Linked DNA regions of Schizosaccharomyces pombe. The gene in region 2 interacts genetically with the main gene of each other region. Each region holds a gene or a part of one and is shown on either strand. Other genes may lie near its edges. The genes, in order: cdc25, win1, mkh1 and wis1.

Region 1 (7,119 bases), 4.6 Mb from region 2:
CGAAGGTTCTGAGCGCTTAGATACAGATCCCTCGAGAATGCTAAGTGTTTTTGACCGAGAAAGAGAAGAAGTTGTTTTCGGCTGTACACTTTCCTCACTTTGTCCTTGTAAGCTTGCCATGGTAAGTTTCTCAGTAAACGATAAGTTTCTTCGTGGAAAATTTGTAGAAATATCATGCATTGAGTTTCTTTGTTTTGACAAAGACGAAGAAGGAAGGTTTATTTCACGGTTCTTGATGCGAGCTATATCGGAAGACCTTCTTCTAGTGTCCCTCTCAAAACCATTGAATGAAGAATCTGACCGAGTCAAAGAATGAACCCCAGAATTGCTTCTTCGACGTTTAAGAATTTCATAATCCTTAGAGATAGAGGCCTCCGAATGAGGACTAGAAGTATTGGATATACTGGCACCAGAAGTATTTCCAGGTAAAGCGCGACCGGCTTCTGATTTGCTACTAATCAATTTTGAACGAGGAGGAGCGCTATGTCTATGCTTATGAGAGCGTTCTGGTAATAAATCTAAACCGTTACATTTCTCTAAAAGGTTGCGCGTAATTCGAGGGAATTTAGAGGAGTAATATGGGACTATTGTCTCCTTACAAAACTTCAATAAGAGATCCTCAGATCGTTCGGTAGCATTTTGTTCTATAGTCCTTCGTATGCAAAGCCCATCAAATGTAAATTCCAATTTTAATTGAGCAGTTTCAAAAGGATTAAGCGTTTTTGCGTTTTTTTTCCGAGATTTTCGTTTACCACTATCGCGAGAATCCAACAAACTGTTATCATTAGCCCGACGCCTTGCGTACTCAGGATCCCATTTTAAAAAAAGGTATAGAATCTCAAAGTATAAAAGTACACGAATTTCATACTCCTTCAATTTCAGTTGGGAAAACTCCCTCTCAAAGTCAAGTTTTGTAATTTGACAATTTTCTCGATTTAATATGTTTTGAAGCCAGAGGCGATAGCCTTTAATCTCATACTGATGGGCTTCATTTTCGAATTCCAAATGCCAAGCCTTATAGTTTAAATGTGATTCAAAACATTGAAGTAATCGGGATTTACGGTCATCGACAGATTTAAGATTATCTAAAAATTTTAACAGTTCATCAACTAGAGCTTTTTCTTCTACATGATTGTGTACTTCAACTGCTAGTTGTCGAGTTTTTCCAACCATTTGCTTTACATAAAAAACAACAGGTGTTTTGGTCATCAATAGTTGATAAAAGTAGGAATTGTAAAGATGGTCCAACAAAGATTTAACGTCACGTGAACAGCTAGGAGTATAATCTTGAACCATTTCAGTAACGGAATCATTTGCAAATTCATGCGTAAGGGAATTGCCATCTTTTGAAGACGAAATAAGATCATGCGTAACGAATGAATGCGGAGCTTGGCTTTCGCGTTCGTTTGCTTGAGAAGCATCTGATTGAATTCTGTGAAGTTCCTTTTTTAACAAACTAGGTGACATTAAAGAGTTCGAACGGAACAATTGATCTCCTAAAGGTTTGTTTGAGACGTTGGACAAGCTTTTAGAGGATTTCGTTAATTGATGATTTGCTATCACCTTCAAAGACTTAAAATCCAATTTTTCTGAAAGAAAAATCAAGGCATAACGGCTCCCTTCCACATGTTCAATTCCAACAAGTTGATTAGCTTTCGAACTTTTTACACGTCCGAGTAAAACACTAGTGCCAGCTGGCCTTATAACTATGAATTGTAGTGATGAGCAAGTAAACTCGTGATATTCCTTTGAAATGCACCATCGCAGGCAAATACACTGCCTTGGTACAGTAACTAAGGGCCAGACTTCAAGATATGATTTTTCCCAATTTGAAGGAGCCTAAAAGATGTCAACAACTAATCTTTACTATTTTTAAAATGTAAGTACCTTTATACAAAATGATTTCTTGGAAGCATGGTCGTTATTCATAAAGATACCAAAATCTTTAAATTAGTGTACCTAAAAAGATTTGTTTGTTTGAACATTAAGTGCTCTGCAAACTTTCATACTTAAACAATTCGTTATTTATGATTACGAGGTTTATCCTACAATGTATTAAATACAATCGTTGGCGTTCAAAGCTGCACTTCATAGGGCGTTGATGTCATAATCAATAAAATTCATATAAGCGAATTTAAGGTTGACTTAGATGACGACATTCTGATTGTTGCAAATAAAAAGTAAACAAAACAAAATCTACAAATATCTTCAAATTTTAAAAAAGCACACATATGATTCACTTTCTCAACGGAACATGTTTAAATTTTTACCAAAAAAGTAGTATTGATTAAAAATTTTCGTAATTTTTTTTTTGGGAAGGTACTTAAGTGTGAATGTCCAACTTCCGCATTGTAACTATTTTATATCACATAAAACTTCGTAACTCTCTGGTGAACTTAACCTTCCATTGGAAAGGGTAAGCTACAATACTACCGCTTACAGAACATGCATAAAAGGAAGTGATTTAAAAATAAAAGTTTTATTCGTTTTCTACTTAAATATTTCCATCAGAGATGGTTAGGTAGAGTTACAAAAACGTAAGCAACTCAGTTCCTATCGCATTACTGCTTCAATCAAAGAATGCTAAATTCTTAGCATTCCTATCAACAGCAATTGCGAGAAGAGCAATTAGAATGGACTTCGGTACGTATGTTTACCCGTGATTGCTTAGAAATTATTAAGCTCAATTGATTATAAAATAATCAATTATTAAACCAAAATCCATGCGTAATAATAATAACCAAACTAGTCGTTCTAGATATTTAGTCGTAAAAGTGATGTACTTCGAAAAGTTTAGCCAGTTTAAATTTTTTGTTGTCGAGACCTTTTAAAAGGTATATTGCTTTCTTTCAATAATAATAATAAAAAATAGAAATAAAAGGTTTCATGATTCAAAGTTTATAGAAAAAACTTAGGTTTAGAAAGTTGAATATATAAGAGTATACTTCAGGCTAGGTAAAGTATTGAGTCAGCCTAAAATCATTAAAATCTTCTAAGTGTAGAGAGGGAATGCATGGCAGTAGGAGAATCATTAACGTCTGGGGAAGCTAACACACTTTGGCCAAAAGTATAACTTTTAGTACGCATAAAAGTAGCGTTTCGTTTGAAATTATTCATAGCCTTGGTGCAGGTCATAACATGCGAAGCATCGTTCATCGGAACGTAGTTAATTGGGTCACAACGGTTTTTGTGGTTTTCGTAAAACGACTTGTAACCACCATGAAGTATATAAACCTCGGGATAGTAAAGGAAAGGATAACGATGACTATTCATTCGTCTGTCGGTATTTCGAAAGTGCAATGCCAAATGAGGTGCTCTGTGCGCACTATGTTCACAATGAAAAACAAGTGCAACCCGATGAGTAAGAGGTTTACTTAAAAAGGCATCCACAATAGCTTGTTTCGTATTTAAATTCACAGCAGTGCTAATATGGCCCCCAAGGTATTCATATTCAAAACGGCAATCAATAATGATGCATTTGTCAAAAATATCCTTAAATTTACCATCTAATAGACCGAGCAATGTTTCTTGGGTAATTCGTTTCAATGAGTCCTCCTTCACGGCGAAGCAAGGAAGAGATAAATCCTCGACATGAGAAGAGATGAAGCGCTCACTTTCTTTGGTCGATTGTTTTGGCGTAACGCACACAAGATCTTGGCTTTTGAAAAGCCCTAGTCTTGTGGAATTGAGAAACATGCTTTGGGTACGACGAAGCACTGGTGTATCTTGCTCATCATATTCCGCATCTTCTTGCATAGCGAATGCCATCGGAGAAGGGGACCTAACTTTCAAGCTAGGAAAGGCAATATCTTTATTTATCTTGGGTAACATATCAATAGGTTTAATGGGTGAAGCTTGAAAAAGATCATCTAAAGAATTATCATTGCAAGCACCAAAATCACTGTTGGGACGTTGAATAGAGGCAGCGTCTTCAACAAGTTCAACAGAGCTTTCTGGTAAATCAGCAACCTTGCCCATCGTAAATGTATCCTCATGATCAGACATTAATTCGAAATCATCCGTATCATCAGTAAGACAACTTTCAAGTAAGCTGGTCGTGTTGCTCGACTGACTACAGGTACGGGATAAGGCATAAGTCAAATGGCGGGTAGCTTGTCCACCAGAAGTTCCCTTCTTTTTGTTAATGGAATATGAGGAACTCGATCTGGATCGCAAAAATGGGGGTGCGTTGCCTGATGATCGAGAACGTGAGACGTTAGGACGAAGGTAGGAATCAAAAGAAGAACTCGATAATGACGAACGAGTAGCTTCGCTTTTGGTGGTGTTTAATGCGATTGATGCTTTAGGCTTAAAGCTGTAAGCAATAGTGCTGGAAACACGTGGGGAATCTTGGGTAATGGAATACTTCGATGCAGGTTGCCGGAAGAAGTAGGACTCGGTTAAAGCGTCATTCGAGGGTGACTCCGGGAGAGGTGAAACAATAGTCTTGTTAGCGAGAGGGGTTTCTACAGTACAAGAAAGAGATCGAAAGAGCGTACGACGAGGAGTCGGTAAGGCAGGGCTTTCATCGATATGCATGTTCATTGACATATCAGCAGCTAAGGAAGATGCAGGTGAAGCTGTCGAACAAGTTTTTCCAAAAGGATCCACTAATGTTGAGGCAATGTGTTTGGATTTCGGGAAGAAAAAATCCAGCTCTTGATTTGCATTGCGATCCGACATCAACTTTAATTCACGGGCAGCAGGACGCAATACATTCCGTTTGCCAGATAGAGTGTTGGTAAAGGAAAGTGAAGAAAGCGGAGAATCCATTTTAGTTGAGGTTTAACTATTATTAAAAGCAGACAAAATGGTAAATTTAATTTAAACCAAGTACACTGCAAAAAGAACTAATGGGACGACACGACTGCAAAAGATTGAGTTTCAGAATGAGAAATCAATAGAGCAAGTAAGATAAATTATAAAGGAAAATCCTAGGGAAGAGTCAAAAGACCGGTTTAAGATATTAATGCCAAAGTGAGACAAAAAGAAAACTAAAAGAAAGACAGGATGAAAGCAATATAGCCAAATATTAAACAAAACCAACCTTTACAAAAGAAACCGGAAAGAAGTTTAAGTAAGTTTAGACTCCACACGACGGGAAGACCGAATAAAAGTATATAAAAAAAAAGAGATTAATGAGACAAAAATAGATGAGCACCAACGGTCACGACTATAATATAGAATATAAAAGATACTGTCGTTGAAAGAAAAAATGAAAGAAAAAAGAAAGTTAAAAGAAAGCAGTTGATTAATATGAAAACAACAGAATACCCAAAAGTTCAGACTCAAAGTTCGTTACAAGTAATAAACCCCCCACTTTACCATATAAAGGCTTCTTGAACAAATAACTTCAAGAATCCTATTAATTGCCTTAAAAAGCGTAAGCAATTGTATTATAGACGTTTCAAAAAATCACTGAACCAGCAGTTAGTACTTGAGAAGCATCAACAGGAATCCAACTTGAGGAGAGAAGGATGCCCGAAACTAACAGGCATCAAGTTCTTTTTAAACTTACAACTTTGGTATTCTTAAGAATAATATTTTCAATGTAATACACTTGATCTAAAGGAGAAGAGCTTGAAGCGCTGTAGATAGTTGAGGGTAGAGAGAAATCTCAGCTCTGCCTCCGAGAGGAAAAAAAAGCAAAGGTAACAACAACAATAAAACACCAACCAACAAATTCGAGTAACAGAAAACAATAATAAAAACAAATACATGATTAAAGCAAAGTTAAACTGTAAGCTGTAATACTTAGCCAACACCTCAGCCATGACAACTATTGTTGTATAGTTTAGTTGCGTAGATAATGCCGTTTCAAGCTACAATATGTCACCTCTTAATCTATTAATTATATAAAAGCAAATAATCATTTCATTAACAACATTGAACTAGATGAAAACACATAAATTTTTGCATCTTGTATGTTTGTTTACATGTCCATACATCTCAGCTATTCGATCCACCGCAGTTTGTCTGATTTGTTGCCCTAGCAACGCCAAATGTTGTGTATGTGTAAACAAATACATAAGAACAAACGTCAGGTAACCTGCTTGACAGCCATTAAATCCCCATAATCTCATACCCGCACTCCTGATATGTAACACGAGCAGCGAGATAAAATATGTTATCAGGTGTTAGCGAATAATCGTAACACGATGAATCTCTCTACTTCGGGACTCGGACTGTCATTCCGAATTGGAAAACGAGGGTGTAACTCATTGAAAGTCTCCCGATGTTATGTAGCTATGGGTTGATACCATTATTGTCGTAGTAGGCATATTTCGCAAGATAGTATAGCCAGTTGTCTTGTTAAACTCGGATATCTTCAACAAAGATACCGCTATTATTACACTTCAACATACAAAATATAACAAAACTCTAACCTTTATTTAAAGTATTCTAGCAATCAGAGGCAGATATCGTATCCACAGAAACACTAGAGCAAAAAAGAAAATATTTTATCAGGTGGAGCACCTTTTTGTAAAAACGCCCTGATACGTGATTAGTAGACAAAGAAAAGTGTAACCATAAAAATTGCTGGAACAAATTGTACGCAAAAAGATGGAGTATGAAACAAATAAAAAGTGCAGTATAAAACAGTTTGTCGAACACTTCGTGGAGTTCAGTGACACAAAATCAAATGAGTATCCGTAAAACCTAAAAACAATGAGTGGACTTAATTCTTAAGATGCTCGGCAAGAATATCAGAAGTGAGGGCCTTGCCTTTGGCTTCAAGAGCACTGACCAATGCAGCACCTACGCCACTACCGTCTTCGGCGGGGATGGTAACAACTTTGCTGCCAATTTCCTCACCAAGGATATCCTTAAATGCTTGAGCAAGACGATCCTTAAAACGAGGGTATAAGTTGTAGACACTACCATCAGTACCTACAATCATAGATGGCTTATTCATTTTACGAACAAGGGCGCATACACCACACGCAGAAAGACGGGCAGAACGAGTTCCAATCAATTCGCATGCACGACGAATGAATTGACGCTCTTCTTCGGTGGTCTTGAGACCATAGGTTTCCTCAAATAGGGTTTGAGTTTCATCAAGGTTCTCAAAGGGGTCAACTTCAATAGCGCTGAGCACAGAGGTATCCATGGCCAAGG
Region 2 (9,428 bases):
TTCCTTCTTATCGCGTATTATTTGTTCAAATATGTATGACAAGATTCTTTATAGTAGGGGAAAACAAAAAAAAAAAAAAAAAAAAAAAAAAACTTAATACAAAGAACCCGTAGACCTAGGAAGACCGAAAAAAACGCTTAACGATTTTGTCAAATGGCACATATTTACATAAAAAAAAAAGAACTCAAAACCATTTATTTGCTGCTCTCAATTCGTACTGCACCATCAATAATTTAACGTACAGTTTAGGCATTTTCAAGACTACAATTTAGCTTCAATAAATACTTCTAAATGAATTGAAGGATAAGCGCATCGACTGCAAAGAACAATTTATCGTTAGAGGGACAAAGGCTAGAAATAACTGCATTATAGTTTATTGAGCCATTGGATCCGCGAGATATCGTAAAATACAAATCTTTTACTATTGAGGAAATAATTAAAATAAAACAAAAAATGAAAAGTGATGATTTCTTTACCTTGAGAAATTTGCTTTTTATTACTTGACATTTTTTGTTTACATTTTATTATAGCAAATTGTACCACACACTAACGAACTACGCACCAATGCACAGAAACTAAAAGTTTTGTTGTTTGGATTTATGTGACTGTTTTTCTTGGAAAACATTACTTTGAATTTCATTTAGTTAACAACTTTACAAACTTCTATCTTTCGGCAGAAAACCCTAAGCCTTTTATCTCTTTATTTCCTTGTTTTTTTTTTAAAATGTCTGCTGCACCTACCACTGCACCCGTTGCCGCTGTTTCCAAAAAGGGAAAGAAGTCGGGAGATACTATTAATTCCAAGTTGGCGTTGACTATGAAAAGTGGGAAATACGTTTTGGGATACAAATCGACTTTAAAAACCCTTCGTTCTGGTAAAGCTAAATTGATCCTCATTGCCGCAAATGCCCCTCCTCTACGTAAATCCGAGTTGGAATACTATGCGATGCTTTCTCGCTGCTCTGTACACCACTACAGTGGAAACAAGTAAGTAACTAGCTTGTAAGGGTTTTCCTCAACATCGACTTTGACTTAGAAGCGTTTTGAAATTATTTTTACTTTTAAACCATTACATTTAAACTATGCTAATTTTATGACCATCATTTCTTTGAAAGAAAAATATAGCAATTGATGTTGAGAAACACTGTTTAATGGCTAGCTTTTTGAAGCCTTTTTGATTTCGACAGAGATCTTAATTGGGAGTCGAATTTTGTTTTACTAACTGTTTTCAAGTATTGATTTAGGAACTGCATGTGGTAAATTATTTCGCGTCGGTGTATTAGCAGTTATTGATGCTGGCGATTCCGACATTCTTGCTGCTTAGGTAAAACTTATTAAAATTTTTAAAATCAATGTTATGGCAGATAAAATAAATCGGATTATTTTTATTGGATTTCCAAGTTTCTGGTAGAATCCAGGAACTCTTTAGCTTGACATATCTAAACAAATGTAAAAAATTCAGCATTAGGCTGATCTATCTTGTATATTAGCGTAACAATGAAACTCATCAATATATGCATTGTATTTACGTTTGATTGTTGTAGCAAGGTAATTTAATTAACGTCTCTTCCTAGCGCCGTAGTAAAAATGATTCTATGATAAAGTCACTTTTACACTCAACTAATTCAATAACGATTCATTTAATGAATACCGCATAGATTGCTACGAATACAAAACTTACAAAGTGTTTAGGACTTTATAATATTTCTCGTCTCTATTAATTAAGTATTAAATTAAAACCGTATCCAAAAAATAGTCATAAGGTGTAAAACATAGCAAACATCTAAAGTTCCAACGGAGCACCATTGGTAGAAGGCGCTGATTCGACTACGGATGAGTTCATAAGATCGAATTCCGTACCAGCCCGTAAGGGATACACCCATGGATCCATTAATAATTCGGCAGCTGTAGCGCGCTGATTGGGATCAGAAACAAAACAACGTTTGAGGAAATTTTGACCCAAAGGCGAAAGCTGATCATCTGCAGGAATAATAGGAGGATTATGTGCAGCAATGTGATACATCAAAGAAAAATGATTATCTAATCTAGGCCAAGGTGGGGAACCCGTAGCCATTTCAACAATAACACATCCAAGTGACCAAATATCCATAGCACCAACCCTTTCGGACGGATTACCAAGAATTAATTCTGGCGCCATATACGTAGGTGTTCCTGTCAAGGAGTAACCGCGATTTTGGTCTAGATGCTGCAAAAATTCCGAGTCTTTTTCAAACTCTTCCTCTTCTTGTTGTGTTAACTGTTCAAAAATTTTAGTTGAAGCAGAACCCGACATCTTGGCAGAACCAAAATCTGTAAATTTCATGATCCCGTTGTGATCAAAAAGGATATTCTCAGGCTTTACATCTTGATGTGAAACACCACAGGAGTGTATGTAAGCCAATCCTTCTAATAATTGTAGGACATAAACTTGAATTACCAATTCGTCCTCAATTCTACCGTAACGTAGAAATTCGAAAAGCGAAGAGCCTTGACAAAGTTCCATAAATATATTAACTTTTTCACGATGCACTTCGATACCATAATACGATACGACATTAGGATGATCAAAGAGTTCAAGTACTAACATTTCACCTTTAATCCTCTTGATCATCGGTCTAGATATACGAGGTTTATGCAATGCCACTTCTTTAACAGCCATTAAATCTCCTGTATCCAAGTTAACAGCACGATAAACCGTACCGAAAGAACCGCTACCTATAAGTCCACCCTGTTGCCATCGAATCGTGATATTAGATTTCGAAGAGGCTAGCTCTTTCAATAGCCTGTTCTCCTTTGTCGTATCATCCAAAACACGTCCAATGAGCTGGGACTTATAAAGTCGGTCCCTTCTATTACTTTCTAGTTCAATTATCCGATGCATAACCTCCTCCTTGACAAAGGAAGCCAACTCATTATCCGATAAACGACTTCGGTCGGAATTATTTCGAACAAGGCGAGCTGGTATATCTCCAGCTTGTTGGTCCATACTACGACCAGCATGTTTAGTACCCATAACATCAAAGTGCAAAAGTAATAATGCCACACATTTTCCAACCTTTTCTTTGAGTTCTTCAAATGATTTTTTATCAATCATTAAAATGTTCGAACCGTATGTCATAATCATTGCGAATTCTAAAGCCGTAACAGTCCAACGAAACGTATTTCTATCGGTAGGAGAACAATCCTCATAGATGAATCCAACCCAACTGATCGCCAGCTGTATCATTTTGCGACGAATCAGCCCAATGCTAGATGCGTCTAGGATCGAAAGCCTCATTAATCGTTGTGCAAATTCAATGGCGTAAGAAAAAGAATAATGAATTAGATTTTGGCAATTCATGCCATGGTACCTTGTACGAATTGTTTGTATCACATCAAGCAATGACAAAGCCAACTTCAAAGAATTTCGTTTAATTTTGGTCATTTGTTTGTTGATTTTGGATGAATTTGCTTTCGCAGAATCAACAAGTGAGACTGTGTCACCAACTATACTAATAAAATAATCTTCGATAACAGAGAGTTGATTAGCTGTCGCTAACGTTACTAAACGGACACAGTTAGGAGCAATGGAAATTGACACTTCCGGAATATCAAGATCTGTAACATGGCCGTTCCAACATATTGAGCTGTCTGGAGCCAATACAACCGCATATGGAGGTACACTTTCAAAATTATTATCTCCTTTATTAAAAGTCATTGAAAGTACCTCACGAAGTATATTAGGGGAATCAACTAGGTGTCCTGGAACAATTACGTATGCTCCTTCATGTTCGATACTCGCCGTATATGTCAAAACGTGATTTGATTCTTCAAGGCGTTGTATTAAAAGGGATAATGAATTCTCTTTAATAACGTACTCGCAAGAATTTTCCAAATGCGCTTTTAGTATACGAGTAAAACTCATCAATTTTCGGAAGCGAATTCTAACACAGTCAAGCACCTTGATATAAAATGAGGTGATCAATGCAGAGTCATCGGTATCGGGCCCCTGCAGCTGATCTTTTAGATACCTATTGATATTGGTCAATATTTCACCAACCAGCGAAGAAAGACTTTTAGACATAATTTGGAATCCGTGTTCGATGTGGGGACAAACAGCGAGCAGAAAATCCCATTCTCCTTCTAAAATTTCGGTTTCTTTGAAATGCAGCAAGGCACAGCCATTGCGAACCTTACGATGTAATAAATTGAAGTAAAATTTCAATGAGGCAACTAAAATATTGTTTAAGGACTGGTTTTCATCAACAAATTTGCTATCATCACGAAAAGGTTTGATTAGAACAGTGTGTTGTTGAATGATATGGACGGCAACTTTCATAGTGTTCCGAAGGTCATCTAGTAAAGAGTCAATCGTAAATAAAGAAATTGAGGTAATATTTTCTGCACATGATAAGCGAAGATTTAGGAACTCTTTGATTAACCTAAACGGAAAAGAAAGAAGACGCATGTAATCATCAGCAATAAGCGGCAAGCCATAACTTTTTAAATCATCCGCATATGTAACAATCGTATTACAAACTTTGCTTAATACGCTATTCATATTAGTCATGATTCTTTGCTCAAAAGCTCGAATCAAACCGGTTTCTCTATAAAAGCGCTCCACAAATGGTCCGTTTGAAATTTGAGAAACGTTATTAATAGAATTTGTAGTATTTTTGGTAATGTCCATTTCCTCATTACCAACCCACGAGCGAATAATGTTAACTTGAATTTCTAGCGCATGAGTGACATTAGAATAAGCCGTCAAGACATCCAACTTGTGCTGAAAAGATTCTGAAGCATATAATGAATGTTCCTGAAGGATAGAACGACGTGAAGGATATAAACGTTCATATTTATCAAGTTTTTGCAGCATGTTATCGACAGCAACAATAGGGGTTAATTCGTTGCTCTCATCCCAATGAAAATTCATAATGGCCAGTAGCACATCAACCATACCCGTACGAAGATGTTTTAAATTTTCTCTATAAGAATCAACGGAACGATGAGTAAGCCAACACCATATTTCCATCCACAAATTATCAGAATAATCACTATTTCGCCCTTCTCGAGAAGAAGCAATCTTTCTTAGCCGTAATTTTTCAGATCGGACTATATCACCAGTCAGAACTGAAGTCAACATATATTGCCATTCAAAACGTTCTTTGTTTTTTGGGTTAGCCATTAAATCATCAGAAAGTAAGGATGGGAGATTCAGAACAGATTGTACCCAATTTACAGTTGAAGTCTCAGAATCTAAATCCGAGTCCTCCTCATCATAAGTTTCATTAACATTAGAAAAGTAATAAGTTGAACTATCACGACGAATGCTTAGAGAAGGATCGTTATAATCATATTCTGGGTCAAAACACTTTAACGAACTACTCAGTCGTCTTAATTGAGATTTCCTCTCAGGATGATCTTCAATTTTAGCAAATGTTATAGAATTTCTTAGTTTGTGAGAACGCTTGGGCTTTTCTGGCAAATTTTTAGTTTTGCTTGGAACTGCTGTTGAATTTATGTGTTCAACATCAATCATTGGCGACGAAATAGAACGTCCTCTGTGCATATAATCGTCTTCCTTAATACCGGGAGACTTTATTATCCTATTTGAGCTAATACTACTTTGCAGACTAGGTCGGATAGGATGATCGAGGTTTGAATGACCAGCATTCTTAATTGGTATAGGAATGGAAGAGGAAGAAGTAGGAGGATGTAGTAGATTACTAGTATCGCTTGGACTTACGGCATAAGCACGATCTAATTCATCAATATTGATTGGGTCAACAGGGGTAGAAATAGTAAGGGCCTCGGCTGGAGGCTGTTCAGCCATTCTGAAAGCTTCTGAAAATAAGTCCTCTTTGGCGCTCGCCTTGGATCTATCACTTGAGCTACGCGCAACAGATGGCCTTCTGTGATTTTCTTCTTTTCCGTTGTTAGGAAGTTCAAGCATAGACGAGGTAAAACTTGAAAGTAAAGTCAAAGAGCGACGATGAGCCTTTTCAAATGTTTTATCACGCAATTCACTATCAAGAATTGGATTGATAGAAGATCGCCTTGAGCCATTTTCTAGTATATGTGAATTGACCACAGAAGGATCCAAAATATTTTCCATGTTTGTTGAGGAACAAATTTCGAATTGCTTCAGAAGTTATGTATAAAAAAGACCGTTATACCCAAATTTAAACCCAAAACGGGAAACAGATAAGTTTGGAATAGTGGCAAGTAGTAGTAGAATAATTGTTTACTGAAGTCAAAAATGGGAGTGGGTAATGAAAAAGTGGTTTACAGATGCAAGGAATGCCAACTCAGTGTAAGGAATTGTGCAGCGAAGTCAATGCAACTACTGTTATATGTAAAAATAAAAAATCCGAAGTTGACAAAGACAAATAACGATTGCAGGAATTACCAACCGAACAGAATTCAGGTTGTAAGTATATTAAAGTAATGCAGTCAAATTGAGGAACGTAGAGAGAGAGACACACACACACATCCAAAGCAATGGGTTTTCGAAAAGATACGGTAAATATTAATGAGCAGAAAAAAATGATAAAATATTAAATGTAGAAATTCGGCTTAAAAAATCGATAAAAGTGTTGTGTAAAAAAATTATACGAGCCGAAGAGCAGTAAAACTACCGCGTATAAATTGTTGAAAGAGCAATAATCAGTGAACTAAAAAGTCAATCCTCCTTGTAGAATATGTGGAATTGACAAAAAGAAAATTTATAGGTTTGCGGTGTGCAAAGGATAAACAACTAATTGTGGTCTAACCCCGTAGTATAGTATGAAGTGGGGTACTAGTTTTAAGGATTTTCAGTGCAATGAGGAATTTCTCACTAAATAGCAAAATCATAGATATGGGTTTTCAGGTATTTTTGATTTACATTCTTTTACTTTAATTTAATAAAATCTTTTTATCACAGAATAAAGGTTGGACTAATATTCACAAAAGACAAAACATCTGTCTAGTACTTTTTCCGAAATATTATTGCAAAATAGATTTATTAAAAAGAGAAAACGAAAGAAATTTACAATAAAACCAAAAGCTTCTTAAGATGCAGAAGTATAAAAAGGTTGTAATGGCCAGTTTCACCTTTACTTGCTATCCACCAATGCGAAACTGTTCTCACAATTATTGAAATTATCCTAAGCGAAATTTTGACACTTTGGATAACAAAATAGATACTTCCCATTCCATTAATGGATTAAATAGCCAAAAAGAGAAACTCAGTGTAATAATAGTTGGAGTTGGGACATTAAATAATGCACATGATCGTTTAGCCCTGGTAGCATGGACGCATCGAAATCTAATGAAGAATCCCCTTCCAACTTAACTTTATATTTTGATAAAATGTTTTGCGCGTCCTCATCCTTTAAATCAGAATAATTTGCAGGATCCGCTAACCGTAGAATAGCCTTAGCCTCTCCTAAAATCTCTGAGTCCTTGTCGTAAATATCTTTGGAATTTGCCTTTTCGTAAAGATCTTTTAAGTCTATTTGTGTTTTTAGTTAGCAGCGGTTAAAACTAAAGCATTACAACACATGAATGTCTTACCTTTGATGGATCTCGTAAATTCCTTCACCTCAAAAAGCTGTTCTCGAACGGTGTGTCCTGCACTGTTTACCGTTTCGGGAATTATCAATGGACTATCGAATTTCACATTAAAGTCCTGCTCCCAATCTGAATCCGCATCGTCCGCAAATAAATCGCAACGAGATGAAAATCGAATATCCGATGAATCGTTATTTATATGAGTCGTTTGCGTATTGTCTTGAATGATAGGTTCCGACACTTTCGACGACTCTGGCGAAGTAGTCGATAACTCGTCCCAGCAAATACCATCCGAACTCTCATCTTCTTGCGTAGTCGCACCCAAAGAAGTTTCTTGGATTTGCTTAGCTAATTCATTTATCCGAAAGGAATCTGTCTCATTATCATCATGAAGCTCACCTTCAATAAATCCATTAACTGAAGGTAGTTCAGCACCTACACCACTAGCCTTGCTCCCTTTATTGGCCGAATTAAATTCATTACTTAACGCAGTTTTTTTACAGTTGCCTTTGTTTATCTCATTCGCCGTAAAGTGAGACAACGACGTACTGTCTGCACCTGAAGCGTTGCGTTGTACAGTACTTTTTGACTCAACTCCTATGAATGAAAAAATTCGTTTAGAAAATTTTCGGGAGTAACTTCTTAAGCTTTCAAATGCTGAGGGTTTCCTCCATGAGCCTTGATCTATGCATTCGGAGGTGTTAACTTCTTTCGGTAATCCAAGCTGTTTAGGGCGCCTCGGTGTAATATCTGAACCATAACTTTTCATGCCTTTCACATGCCTTCGTTGTAGAGTCACACCTTCAAAAGAATGACCCCTATTCTCTTCGAAAGTATCTGGAACCTCTGCCATATTGACAGAAGAATAGAAATATTCACTTAAATTTTGTTGACTGCCGTATACAACTCCCATTGACGAAATACTCGTAAATCTATATTTCTCTTAAGCTAAATTAAAGAAAGAATTATTGCCGTAGAGAAAAGACTGTACGCGTCAACCCATTCAAGTGTGTAAATAATGGTAGAAGGCACTTTCGTCAAGACCACGCTTTTGTTAGTAAACAAACGGTCGTCATGAGAACGACATAACGAATTTTGAACATGAATCTGTAAATGATTTATAAGGAAATACAAAGTTCTATAACATCAAAGAACGCAATTCGTTATGTTGTTTAAGCGCTATATAATTCTGATAAATACTTTATAACGCGTTAATCGTGGTTACGTTAAATAGGGCTTTGTAAAGATGGAATGCTAGCAGAGATAGACTAGGAAATGGAAAAGACTGTCTATTACAAGTTTTATTCATTAAAAATGTTCAACTTAAAATAAATAAGTTAGCCAAAAACTGAAAAGATGAATGACTCTACAAAGATTCAAAGCCACTGCTCGTTCATGAGCACAATGTTAGCATCAAAAGTTGCTATACGCCTTTCAACTTTCTTTACTTGCTTACGATAAACTCTTCAACTAACTCTGTTGATGCAGGGAAAACATTGTTTTCTTCTTTTCTTTCATTACATTGACTTAAAAGTCAAACTCTTTAAAACTAGTCAAATAATGTTTGCAGTTTAAAGCTACGTTTTTGAGAGCGTAAAGTGATGCAACCTTTAATCTCACAGTTAATATAAACATAGCGAATATAATAGGTTAATGGATCAATGATTAATAATAACTTTTACCTAGCAGAATTGTTTATTACTACAGACCATTTAACTTTTAGCAAAAGGAACTTCCTAATTCCTTACAAAAGTACGACTGGACAGTTACGGTTAACACAAATACGTTAGCTCTGAGCAAAAAAATTAATTCCACAAAGGTATACGCAGTAAATAAAAGTTCAATCCAAAATACAGATTGACATCCTCTATTCACTCATTTAGTTTTACCAAAAA
Region 3 (8,172 bases), 4.5 Mb from region 2:
TAAATGTTCTTAATATCTAATTGTCGAGATGATTCAAAATAAGCAGAAAAGCGCCCTGAAGAGGAAGGGTCTATACGGAATAAAAGTGTCATCCCTCTATATGTTCCTGTGACTACGTAGATTGAGGAAGGGCTTCCTTTAGGGTTCATAACGACAAACTCGGCACTCGTAAGAAAATCGGGATCAGGTTTTCCTCTTCTCTCTAATCCAAGCTCCGAGATGCTGGTGTTACACAGTATATGGGGGCCACGCATGTCGATGATTGTAATTCCACCATCCTGATATCCTATACAAACAAAACCAATATTGCTCATTTGGTTCAATGTTACTCTTCCTCGTTTAAGATCAATATAATATTGAGCATGTAATGTTCCCTCTAGAACTAAGGTATCGTCCAAACGATATATTCCGTTAGCGAGCTGAGCTGGTAAATTTTCTTTATGATTTTTCCTTTTGCAAACAATGACACGCCCAAAACTATCAGCACAACTGAATTCTGGATTATAAGTGGAAAAAGAGGCAGTAGTTATAAAAGCTGAAGGCGTGAGATGCTTTCGCATTACAGAAGAGAAATCCAAATTTACGCAGAGAGATGGATTCATAAAACCCTGAGATATATCCCAAATCGATAAACTAAGACCAGTCGATGTTATAAGTAGATTACGCTCATCTAATTTCTTAAGATAGCCGGGACTAGGAGATCCGCCAAAAAGACAGGAGTAATGTGAATTAACGGAAATAGTATCTTCAATTTGATTCCAAACTTTTTTTGTTACAGTTTGAAATGCTATAACTCGAAAATCTGAAGCAAGGAAGCATAAAGAGGGGGGAATAGAAAGGCTCATGTTTGAAATATTTCCAGTAGAAATGTCGAGCAGCGATAACGAGTTGTCTTCCGAAAGAAGGAGAAGATTCTTGGGATTATGAGATCCATTGTAATGTGGTGAGCTAGAAGGAATCACCAGCATATCACGTACAGGGGGGATGTCAATAAAAGGAAAAAAGCGTTGTGAGTTTGGATTTGCGAAAAATTCCGCAAATGTTTCAACATCCTTTTTGGCAGGGAGATTTCGATAACTGAACAATGAAATTCCCTTTACCGGTGCTTCTTTCGGCAAACCACCTAACATCAAAATAAATGAAACTGTTGGGTCTTCACAACAACACCACCTCATAGACCTAATGGGCTCAAGCTCCGTCTTAGGAGGATTTCTCTGCATGGGGGTATACGTGTGTATGTTTGAATCGACAAAATTTCGGACTTGTACAGGATATTCTTGATCCACATCCCAGAATGCAAAAGTCGAATCAGTATAGTAACTAACAAAGTGATCACCCCAAGGACTCCACTCTATCCCTTTGACTATAGGTCTTCGATAATTATGGGGTGATAAAACTGCAGCTGTACTACCTGGTGCATACTCCAATTCATAAAAGCGTATAACTTCGTCAGTCCTTATTGAGTACAAAACAACGCCATCCGGATATGCAATCAAAATCACACCGAGATCCTTCGGGTGAATCTGAACGCTTACAACTGGGGATAGCTTTCCAGGAACTGGTGCATAAGAGTAGCCTGAAAATTAGTAATAAATTCAAATAAACAACAATGACCTCAACGTACCCATCATTCGCCATTCCTCGTGTCTTGGGACATACAAATTTGGAACTTTGAATTTTCCAAGGCAATGTCTAGTAACATCCCATGGCACAACGGAGCCATCACTCATTCCAAAAAAAACCCAATCAATAGTAGGATCCGTTACGGTACATGTAACTTTTTGCTTGAGAAAGTAAGTGGCAGCTGGTTTTGAAAGGTCACGATGTTTCATCAAGGGATAGCTTAAGACCGTATTTCGAGAGTCAATTACAATCAAATACGCCGCACAAAGGGCTATATGGACAATGGTTGAACAGTCTGGAACTATCACACTCTGGACATGCTGTTTACCGTAAATGTATATCCGATTAGTACTAGATACAATAGCTAGTAAGCCTTGTTGATGGTCTAAACACCATAATACTGGATTTAAGGAAAACCCAAATCGATTCAACTAATCTTTGTTATTAAACATTCAACAAGCATTGCTTCCCTACTTACGTCGTCTATCGATAGTGAAGCATTTGAAGACGTATGGGTCTTCAAATTGGATTTGGATAAAATTTCTTTTCCCTTACTTAGCTTTTTTTTAAAAAAGCTCATATTTTCCCAATTCTTGGTATAAATATACTAATCATGTTATACCCTCGTAGCATATACAAACTCACGCTCAACTCGTGTTAGAGAACGCTATTTTTGGATAACGTCTTGTGCCGTTAAACCAATAATAATGTAAGCTACGCAGTTTGGTATCTGATTTAAGGATACGTAAACTGCGGTGAGTTTTCCTTGTAACCTATTATATTACAATAAACAGGTTGTATGAGTAGCAACTGAGTATTGTATTAACTGTGTTATAATGTTACCTATCACTAATATAGCTCATAACTGAACTGAGGAACGAGGTTCAGTTGTAACGCTATTTATAATATTTCTAAATAGTTGTTATCAACTGGTAACTAGTATATAGATGGATAGTTACCCGTGATTATCAATAAACGGATCTTAGCTAGTATTCCAACATATGACATATAGTGATACACAACGTAGTGTATCATAGCGTAATGTAGTATTGCTGACAAATAATGAGACTTCTAATTTTATCCTTATAGCACTGAATTCGACTTTGCATCATTCACTAGTCAAACCGCAAGCGATTTTGAGCGGGCCTAAAGCCAGACACCAAGCTGGAGATTGCTTGGTTTACCCGTGAAGGTTTATAGAATCGAAATATCAGTTTTACATTGATAAAGTATCTATTTTTAATTCTCTATTATTTTCTAACAGGCTTCTGTGGAATTGGCGGTATCATACGGGCTGCATGTCAAAACACATGGGAAGTCTTTTTGCAATATCTTTAAACCCTGAGTACTAGTGATTCAACATTTCTCTCCTTTCTTAATATTTTATTTACCTGCAAGAAATTGGGCTATTACTAACATCCCAAGTCTGTCTTTTGCAAATTAGTTCACTCGTTTCAGCCGAATCTTAATTTTTTTAATCATAAACTACTTAAGCAGCAATCTCCAATTCGTTTGACAAAAAAAAGGTTTTTTATCTTGAATTCTTTTCAAAGTAACTAATACTGTTCTGGGTATATGGCTGCCGATATCGGATCGCAGTCATCAGGCTCTTTGGAAGAACGGTTTGAACAGTCTCTTCATCTTCAGAATGTCGATAAGCAAGATTGGTCACTTAACAGTGTACTTCAGTTTTTAAAACTATACAAATTTAACAAAGAATGGGAAGACGTTTTTATTAAAAGTCGAATCGAAATGGATTTATTTATCAATTTGGCCGATCAATCAAAAGCCGAGGAATTCGCCTTTAAAAATAAATTGAGCAAGGAGTCTGCCATCCAATTGAGTAGCTGTATTCGCAAAACACTTTTAGCACCTTCTTCGACTCGCGTACCTAGCAAAAACTCGTCTTACGAAACATTAACTTACAGCGCCAAAGATAGTTCGGATGACGTTTTTACAGAAACTAACTCTGGTTTCCGCTCTTCAAATCAAAATTCGTCCCTCAAAAGCTTTCAGAGTGTTCCTGATAGCAATGTGAACGTGTTTGGTGGCTTCGGTGGATCAGTAGTCGACAACAATGAGCTATTGAGCACAGGAAAAAACTCCCATCAAACAACCTCTTTAAATTTGGAAGGCTCTCCTATAAACTTACACGCTTACAAAGGAACTGTCACTTCAATAATTAACGATGACAGCAGAAACATTAATAAAAAAACATTGTCGAAACAACCTGTATCCGAACATAAAGAAAAACAAACTAGCTTTCTCCGTCGTTTCCGGGTACCTGGGTTTTCTCGTGACAAGGATAAAACTAAAGATTGCCCTTCTTCAAATTCGAACCCATTCCATTTAGCTTCTTCAAATGTGAAAACATTAGACGCGTCTTTGGATCAAGGTGAGTGGGTACCTCGTATTCATCGTTTAGAAAGTCAAATTGGTTTAATATCCAAAAAGAAGTCATTTGTTCTTGCTACTATGGATGATATGAAATTCACAGTAGTGGATATTACCAACGTCCAAAATGCTACTCAGCTACGTAAGCTAATAGCTAAGAGTATGTATTTAGACATTTCAATTGACCAGTTTGATTTGTTTCTCACGGAAGTCGGCGGGGCTCAATACATAGAAATATTAGATGATAGAAAGCTTGATATTGCAAGGCTTTATTCTGATGAATTTGGAACTATTAAATTTTTCGTAAAGCCATCACAAAATGAAGAATCGGGTATGGATAGTGATACTTATTTATCTTTTGGCACAAAATCAAGTTCAACTTATAAAGCTGATGATGACTCAATATATCATCGCAAGGAAGATTTTAAAAAGCAACCAAGTTACCCTGTGCTTACTTCGGATTTTGAAATTACTGATGCAGGACCTAATTTATCATTATCAGGGCATCAACCTGATAATAAATACTACAAAGGTTTTAGTTCGGCACCGAATTTGGCAGTTGTTCCAGAATTACCATCTCGACGTTTTCGAGGGTTTGAAAAAATCCGTGGTGCTAAAGGAGAAATGGCTACAAAAATTTTGGATGCCACTGAAGCCCAAAGTGAAAAAAACAAATTTACCGTTTGTAGACCTCACAAGAAGGTCACATTGAAAATGCCACTTAATTCCGGCTCTTCCGCTCCCCAAAGTCCTTCATCTAATACTTCTGCTTCTGTTTTAACTAGAAATTTTGTGGCACATAGAGATCCTCCACCCCCACCCACAGAGACATCTAGTTTACGTCGAAAAAATACATTGACTCGTAGACCAAGTATTCGTCACGCTCGGTCCTCTCCTTACATTGATACCGGACATAACGAAGCTAGCAAATTTTCACATACGTCTTTTGACCCCAAAGCATCTAGTAAATCTTCTAATTCATTAAAGGAAAGTGTGGAAGCTTTATCAGAAATACCTTTTGAAGATGCGCCTGCACTAGACGAATCGGATCTTTCTGGGGATCCCTTTTGGGCTATACAGCCCAAACAATCTTCCTCCCAAGTACCTAAAGAAAATCATCACAACATTCAATCCAAACTTTCCATTAACACAGAGGCTGCTACGGATTTGAAAGCAAATGAACTATCTTCGCCTAAAACTCCTGAATACTGTAGAGGTGATGACAGATCCATTAGTTTATCACCGTTATCTTATCGTTTAAGAAAGTCCAAACATATTCGTGAATCCCCACCGTCTTCAAAGGTTATCAATTCTGGTAACTGGGAAGTTCGTCCATCTGCTGATGATCTTTATGAGGATGTTGATCGATTTTTTCCCCGTTATGATTTGGATAAAGTACTTGTAGTGGACCAAAGCCGCATGGTTTCTTCCCCTTCAAAGGTATCGATACGTCCGAAAATGAAGTCTGTACGATTATTAGCCCGCGAAGCATCTGAAGCTCGGAAAGAAATACGACATAACGCGAGACGCAATAAATCTGGAAATCTTCTACGTCGATCAAGTACGAAACTTTGGGGCTCTAGGATTGTAGAACTAAAACCAGATACTACTATAACTTCTGGATCAGTTGTTTCACAAAATGCCACGTTCAAATGGATGAAAGGAGAATTGATTGGAAATGGTACTTATGGTAAGGTATTTTTGGCTATGAACATTAATACGGGTGAATTGATTGCAGTAAAGCAAGTTGAAATACCACAAACTATTAATGGCCGTCATGACCAATTACGCAAAGATATCGTGGATTCCATTAATGCAGAAATTTCTATGATTGCCGATTTGGATCACTTAAATATAGTGCAATATCTGGGTTTCGAAAAGACGGAAACGGATATAAGTATATTCCTGGAATATGTTTCAGGTGGTTCAATTGGTCGATGTTTGCGGAATTATGGTCCTTTCGAAGAGCAACTGGTCCGTTTTGTATCACGCCAGGTGCTCTACGGGTTGTCTTACTTACATTCTAAAGGTATTATACATCGAGATTTAAAGGCTGACAATTTGCTCATTGATTTTGATGGAGTTTGCAAAATTTCAGACTTTGGAATATCTAAGCATAGTGATAATGTGTATGACAATGACGCAAACCTGTCCATGCAAGGATCCATCTTTTGGATGGCACCTGAAGTAATTCATAATGATCATCAAGGATATAGTGCTAAGGTCGACGTCTGGTCCTTGGGATGTGTAGTGTTGGAAATGTTAGCTGGTCGTAGACCGTGGTCTACAGATGAGGCTATCCAAGCTATGTTCAAGTTAGGTACCGAGAAAAAGGCGCCTCCTATTCCTAGTGAATTGGTGTCTCAGGTATCACCCGAAGCGATTCAATTTTTGAATGCATGCTTTACTGTGAATGCTGATGTAAGGCCAACCGCAGAGGAATTATTAAATCACCCGTTTATGAAATGTGACGAAGAATTCAACTTTAAGGACACGAATCTTTACGACATGCTTTGTAAAAGAAAGAGCTAAATTGGTCGCAATTATTATTTATTACTTAGCGTTTCCTCGCAGGGGCATGCATTCTCAATTTCTTCTTATAGCTATTTATTTAATATTGAAATTAATTTTGAAAATTATTACATTATTATACAAACAAACATACATGATCATTTTCAATTTCTACAATGTATTTAAAAGTAAATTTTCATTTTGTCAAAATTGTTTCGTTTATTTAAAATTAAAACTGATATTAATAAGATGTACTCTTCCCGTCTGAAACCTTCCTTTTTTTGAGTTCCCTAGTATTTCGCTTTGGTAAACTTACCTTGTTAAGAGGATTAAAACCCCGTTTCCCAAATTTATTTTTTCCTACATCAGAGTCTAAGTCAGCAATAAAATTCTTTTGATTTTTATAATCAAAAGGTGCTTCATTGATAATTGGACTGTCATTAGAAACATGTTCGGCTTCAATAGTAAGTTTTCCGCTGTTCTTCTTTTTCTTCTTTTGCTTCCGTTTTTTTGACACTGAAGTTGAAGCTTCCGAAGGTTCAATATCTTCATTTCGCTCCTCTATGGGGTTTGAGGGTTCTTTATGATTAAGCTTAGAAGAATCCCTTTTTTGCTTGTTCAGCCCTAAATCCCTAATGACTATAGGCTCTTGTTTCTTCTCTCCATTCAGACTCGGGTTTGCAGCTTCAGTTACAGTGGACTGCTTTACATTCAATTCGGATTCAACATGCCCTTGAGTACAAGGAAGAGTTAATGAAAAAGGAATATTCTGGTTCACTATAAAGAGTCTCTCTTTACGAGCTTTCCGTAAATCATCTTGCGACTGTCCCTCAATCCAAAACGCAGATCCATTTGCCAGCAAAGTCTTTAGTTTACTTCTATTTTGTTTAGAAATCTCGAAAACACTGGAGTCAACTTTGTAATCACCCAAAGTATTCGATTCGGAAAAAACTGCTAGCGGTTGATTTTGCTTCTCAACTTCTTTAAATTGGGATTTCTCACGATCTACTTGCTCATTATACAACTTTTCGGCTTCTTGAACGACTTTAACGATATCTTCAACATACATGCGAGCAATTGGTGTCAATTGCTTAGAAATTGAAAACACATCAGCCGCTTCAACCGGTTTACTGGCGGCAATCGCAATAAGTAAACGATTTGGCAACACATAGCGAACACTTTCATCTTCTTTTCGGGCTACGGAATCTCTCCAATCGTGCAGTGCTCGATAAATCATCAAAGCTTCCCGTCCAATTATTTTAGAAGAGCCAAACTTAGTAAGTACATTTCTCCAGCCATCAGTACCAAGTCCATAAATAGGATCATAAGGCTCAAGTTCATACTTTCTAAGAGATATTTGTTTACTGGAATTGAACACTGATTGCATAAGATTTTCTTTTCTTTCAGCTGATTTTGATATGAGTTCATTTCGTAAATGATCCCAAATATATAACAAATAATGCGTATCAGATTGAGCATATTTTAACATTTCCCGAGGCAAAGGACGGATTCTCCAATCAGCCATTTGGTATCTTTTATCTGCATCATAATCACAATACTTTTGTAACAGAAAAGCCAGACCATGACCCTCAAATCCTAAAACTTTAGTAGCATAGTATGTATCAAATAAGTTTACAACGTAAA
Region 4 (5,136 bases), on a different chromosome or scaffold from region 2:
TGAAACTGCAAAAGCGAAATACGCATCTCAAAAGCGACCGTAATATATTACGGCGTTCTTTCTCAAAAAATATTCCACTATGAAGGAATTTTCATTTCCAGGATAAAAATCTGTTATGACTCTAGATTACCTTGTTGGACTTATGTTGGGAGAATTTGTTTCTTTGATATATAAAAGTCTCGTACTTTTTAAATAAATGAATACCTCAAATCTCTTTGAGTAATATATTAATAGTTTAAGTAATTATTATTAGGTCGATATAATATCTATTAACACTTGCATTTACGATGGATTCAATCTCTCTAAGTAATCACCATTGTAGGAAACAGGAGATCATAGTAGCTAAAACGACGGAGCCAGTCAACGAAGTTTTAAAAGAAATAAATTAATACAGTACAAGTAACTTTTACAATTGCAAACTTTCGTTTGCACTTCTAAAGCCCCTTAGTTAAATAAAAAAAAAGTTTTTTATGGTGGACGTAAATGCCTTAAACAAATGTAATAACACATTAAATACCCGTTTTAATTTAAAGCAAAAATGCAAACATCAACTACCGTTATACGGAATCATACCCAAATTATTAAATTTATGAAAAAGCACAAATGCAAAATAGCGTCGGTTCTGCTGAAACATAATTATGGATCACGTAATAGTCATGCATTCGAAATTAAAGACAAACACCAATGCGCATGGGTACTTTAAAACAGAGCAGGCAATTAGAAAGCAGGCGAACCTTTAGCTTCTTTTTTCACCTTTCTCTTTAAGAGCGCCTTTTGCCCATGAAGCCATGTCCACATCTGCATTTTGATATTTTAACAACCATGGATGGTTAGCCAACTCATGATAATCGGGACGCAAAGACGGGTTTTTATTCAAACACTTGTTTACAAAATCACGAGCTTCGGGAGAAAATGAATCGGGGAGAGAAGGTGGATCGCCATCGCAAATCGCCGATAGTTGTGCAAATATTGAAGTATATGATTCAGGTGGATACGGATAAGCTCCTAAAGCCATTTCTAAAATGGTAAGGCCTAGAGACCACACATCAGCCTGTACGGTGTAAGTCAAGACGCCATTGGTAGGTCCACCAACACGAATTCTTTCAGGAGCCATGTAAGATTGACATCCAATGTTCGTTTTGGATATAGAAGCCACAAGATTCCCACTCACGCCAAAGTCACATAACTTAACCTGGCCATTAGAATTTACCAAAACATTAGTAGGTTTAACGTCACGATGAATGATATTATGCTCCTCTTTCAAAGTTTTGAGGCCTTGCACTACAGCATAAGCAGTTCTAGCTAAAACTCCTTCGTCTTTGATACCACCAGCATACAGTTTGTCCATGCTACCAGCATCCATATATTCCATACAAATAAAAACAGAACCTTCCACAAAAAAGGCACCATAAAAGTCAACGATATAAGGACTAACTGCTTTATGTAAAATATCCAATTCCATTATAATTTGATTAAATGTTGCTTCTTCTAAGGACAACCTAATTTCCTTCAAGGCCATAGTGACACCAGTCGGTTGATGCAATGCTTTATACACAACACCATAGTTACCTTTTCCAAGTTCTTCAAGCTTAATAATCTCTGACATATTAATACGAAACGAAGAGCCAGATGAAAAGTTAACACCTTCTGAATTTAACACGGCTTTGTTTTTAAAATTTAAGGTGCCTGATTTTGCATCCAAAATATCCGAAAATGTGGAAAAAGGGGTTTCCGAAACAGCCTGTTTAAGGGTGGGAGGAATGTTTAGGCCACGGCGAGAAGCCATGCTAGACGGACTGACAGGGCTGGTGGGATTGGAATTGGATAAATCGAGTTTTCCAGGTGGTGCACGACGGATTCTCGTTTGTCGATTGAAGGACGTTGGACGGTTGAGTAAAGGATTCCTAGCAGCAGCAAGTGATTTTGCAAGCCCGGACTCTGGCATATTCGGAGACTTTACGGGCGAATTACTTAATCGACCAGCAAGTTGAGAGTTAGGCAAAGGATAACTTCCTCGTTGACCCATACCGACAATAGGGGTAGTTGGACTACTGATCTTGTTGACTACTTCCGGCATTGATTTTGATCTAGATGCATGGAAGGCCTTCAATTTCTCCTGTATATCAGTTGAAAGTCCTCCAGGAAATGGGCCCGGTGGAGTAGGAGGAGATCCAATATTGTTCTGACCAGCTGCTGTAGGAAGTGAACGTCTAGGTTTTTCCGAAGGATCCTTCATGTCAAGGTTAAGAGAGTTACGACTCCGACTGGACGTAGATCTGCCAAGTCTGACCGTAGGCACGGCACGGGGAAGAGGGGGATCGGAAGGTATTTCACGACTAGGAGAAGAAACCTTTGAGTCATTGTCACTGCCACTACTGTTAGAATTTAAAGACAAGGAACCCAAGGAAGAACCAGAAGAATCGGTGTTTGAAGAACTTGAAGACGAAAGAGAAAGGAGCGAGCCGGGAGTACCAACATCACCGGGAGGTGCGGTAGGAGAAATAGACAGCTGTCTCAATGAGCAAGACAAGGGTTGATTATTTGGAGAAGACATATAAAATAAATGTGCTTCACAAACTTAAAAAAAAAGAAAAAAAAATTAGGTAAACTAAATTCCGGTAATATAAATGAAGCAAAAGTGAAGATGAACGAAAGTGAGATGGCAATACAAAAAAGGTATCTTGGGTGAAAAGAACAATTAAAATTAGACAATCAATTACGAGTCGTCTCCGACGAAGAAGGAAAAAAAAAGCGGTGGTCTAAAAAGTCCGCAGGAAGGATATTCCAAGAAAAAAAAAGGAAGTTTAAAGGCAATCACCTACGAGTAGCTTTGTGTAGGTAAATGCCACGGAAAAAAAGGAGGTTTGGAAGGGTTTAAATTTAACAGCAAAAGCCAGAAACTGGAAGAAACAGGGGCTTAGATAATAAATTTCCCAAGGAGAACTAAAGAAAAAAAAGTAAAAAGGTGTGGGTTAATCTTAGTCCGAGAAGTCAATACTTTAAAACCGAGTTATGACCGACGAGTAAGGAGGCAAAGGTAAGGAGAAAAAGTAATAATTCACAAACACGAAATAAAAAGGAAAGAAATTTGAAATTATCTTTCTAAAAGATAACACGTAAGGGTGTGGAAGGAAGAGAAAAAATTCAGAAACGCTTTTCTCTTACAGTAAAGAGCAAAAAAAATTCTGCTCTTTAAAGGAAATGGGAAAATTTAGGGAGGGTGATAAAATAGGAAGTGTAGTCGGTACGATGTAAATAAGATATACACGTCGAAAGGGAATGCTTGAGAGATTAGGAATCCCAGCTATCGCCAGCCGGCTGGGGTATGTTTGGGTATACAAGAAGGTGGAATGGGATGGAGTTGGTGAAGGATAAAAGGATAACGAAAGTCAGACAACACGTTGCTTAATCTTAAGGAGAAACTTTTGCACGTTAGCTTACGTATCAGTATATAAGGATAACGTGGATAAAAAAATGTTTCATCAAAACAAGGGATGGTTAAGGGATACAATCAAATTTGTAAAATCAAAATAACGTGAAGCCAAATAATATGCTGCAGATCTCCGTATAAGCGTAACGACCTGTATGAATCATTCGACAAGATTTCTAACAAGGTATCCTGAGATTTATATGCAAATGGAAAGAATGTACGGCAGAAATAGCTGGTAAGAAATACCTCGATGGATTAATGGGAAAGCACAGGATGATTGGGTAAAATGCTCAACGTATAGAGAATAATACATAGAAGTAAAGAAAAACAGAAAAAAAAAGGGCCGAAAAATATTTTAATGGAAGATAAACACAACGATTTATCGGTCTTGACAGAAGGAATTGAATTGTCCGATAGATATGGTAGTGTTTGATTAGAAAAGAATAAAGAATAAATAAATAAAAACAAAAATAATTAATGATTAGGTGCATAGGGCTTTAAGTTTCAAAGCTGGTATTCGAATGTCAATGTATACTAAGAAAAATCATGATCCAAGGTAAAATGTATAACCAAATAAATAAGAGAAATATAACTAACCTAGTAGCTTCCGTCCTTGAGAGCGATAAAAAAAAGCGAGTTAACGCACAAGTGTTTCGAAAAGGTGTAGTAATGTATAATAAAACATTTTTTAATAATCGTTAAAAGGTTCAGCAAGTGGAATGAAGAGAGTGTGTTATTTGTGCTCTAGAAGCAGCGTAAAAAAAAATTTATTTATTTTTAAATTTTTTTTTTTTTTCTAATTTTTTTAAATTTCTTTTGTTTAAGGAAACACACAAAAATAATGTAAGAGTAGCAGCAAAACTGCTAGGAACATTTTGTTCTATGGAAAAAGACACTGAAGTGAAAAGTGCAACGAAGGGGTAGAACTTTCGTAGGAAGGAAAAACAAGCAAAGAGAAAAAAATTTACAAAAGTTCCTAGATCACTCCATCTATATGCAAATGCATAATGTACGGTGTATGCTCGAACAAAGTAGAAAGGGGGCTATAAAAACGATTTGAGGATAATCCTTTATTAATGAGAAAAAATTTGGAACGTCTAGTTTTGCGCCAACATCAAGGGAAGACAAAAAAAATTTTCATTAAAACAGACTCAATAATGTTCAATTGAGATAGAAGAATACAGAAAGAGTCGAATGATTGAACATGTGGTGAAAAAGGCTGAAGATGAAACTAGATAGAAAGAGGCTGTATTCCCAACATCCAAAAATGAGGAAAAACTAAAGAAGAGAAGGAAAGTGGAATAAAATGAAGAAATTAAAAGAGAAAATCATACGATGAAACTGAGAAGAAGAAGAAGGCATTTTATTTTAATTTTATTAATTTTATTAGATTTCATTTCGTTTGACGCTTTACGGTTTCATGAAATGCCAAATTGCTAATTCTTTATTAGATTTTGGAGTATTTTCATTGTTAGTCTGCGAGTATTTTCATTATTAGTTTGTATTTAAAAAGTTTCATCGTATGTTTCTATAGATGCGTTTTTTTTTACATTATTTGAATTGAATGAAGAATTGATTTGCTATAAGAGAAATTTTTGACTTGGTATGGTTGCTGGCTGGCACCCACGGCTGCGTATGCCACATACCATACAATAGTAGACTAAGACGACTGTACATACGAATGGTAGTTGTTTTTTGGGGAAAGG

Evidence for each region.
Region 1: of win1 (region 2) and cdc25, changing one enhances a phenotype caused by changing the other (phenotypic enhancement), as found in Schizosaccharomyces pombe (one study listed by BioGRID).
Region 3: of win1 (region 2) and mkh1, changing one enhances a phenotype caused by changing the other (phenotypic enhancement), as found in Schizosaccharomyces pombe (one study listed by BioGRID).
Region 4: of win1 (region 2) and wis1, a mutation in one rescues a mutant of the other (synthetic rescue), as found in Schizosaccharomyces pombe (4 studies listed by BioGRID, with this or other methods).

What each region holds. Positions count from the first base shown.
Region 1 is NC_003424.3:476,768-483,886, forward strand, and holds cdc25 (protein tyrosine phosphatase (M phase inducer) Cdc25), read right to left. Parts: upstream 5,607-7,119; 5' UTR 5,519-5,606; exon of another isoform or gene 5,419-5,518; 5' UTR 4,774-5,418; coding exon 2,983-4,773; 3' UTR 2,461-2,982; downstream 1-2,460. Other genes in the region: DNA replication pre-initiation complex subunit Sld3, read right to left, coding at 1-1,839, 1,888-1,929; hxk1 (hexokinase 1), read right to left, coding at 6,680-7,119.
Region 2 is NC_003424.3:5,087,107-5,096,534, reverse strand, and holds win1 (MAP kinase kinase kinase Win1), read right to left. Parts: upstream 6,720-9,428; 5' UTR 6,095-6,719; coding exon 1,784-6,094; 3' UTR 1,687-1,783; downstream 1-1,686. Other genes in the region: rpl3002 (60S ribosomal protein eL30), read left to right, coding at 725-987, 1,234-1,324; Spg1-binding protein Etd1, read right to left, coding at 7,209-7,474, 7,537-8,446. UniProt on the Schizosaccharomyces pombe protein: Involved in a signal transduction pathway that is activated by changes in the osmolarity of the extracellular environment. Activates the wis1 MAP kinase kinase by phosphorylation.
Region 3 is NC_003424.3:611,875-620,046, reverse strand, and holds mkh1 (MEK kinase (MEKK) Mkh1), read left to right. Parts: upstream 1-2,771; 5' UTR 2,772-3,198; coding exon 3,199-6,549; 3' UTR 6,550-6,678; downstream 6,679-8,172. Other genes in the region: sro7 (Lgl family protein), read right to left, coding at 1-1,576, 1,625-2,054, 2,102-2,203; exosome 3'-5' exoribonuclease subunit Rrp6, read right to left, coding at 6,770-8,172. UniProt on the Schizosaccharomyces pombe protein: May regulate cell morphology, cell wall integrity, salt resistance, cell cycle reentry from stationary-phase arrest, and filamentous growth in response to stress. Activates the MAP kinase kinase skh1/pek1 by phosphorylation.
Region 4 is NC_003423.3:1,143,231-1,148,366, forward strand, and holds wis1 (MAP kinase kinase Wis1), read right to left. Parts: upstream 3,374-5,136; 5' UTR 2,555-3,373; coding exon 737-2,554; 3' UTR 501-736; downstream 1-500. Other genes in the region: ubiquitin hydrolase Uch2, read left to right, coding at 1-43. UniProt on the Schizosaccharomyces pombe protein: Dosage-dependent regulator of mitosis with serine/ threonine protein kinase activity. May play a role in the integration of nutritional sensing with the control over entry into mitosis. It may interact with cdc25, wee1 and win1. May activate sty1.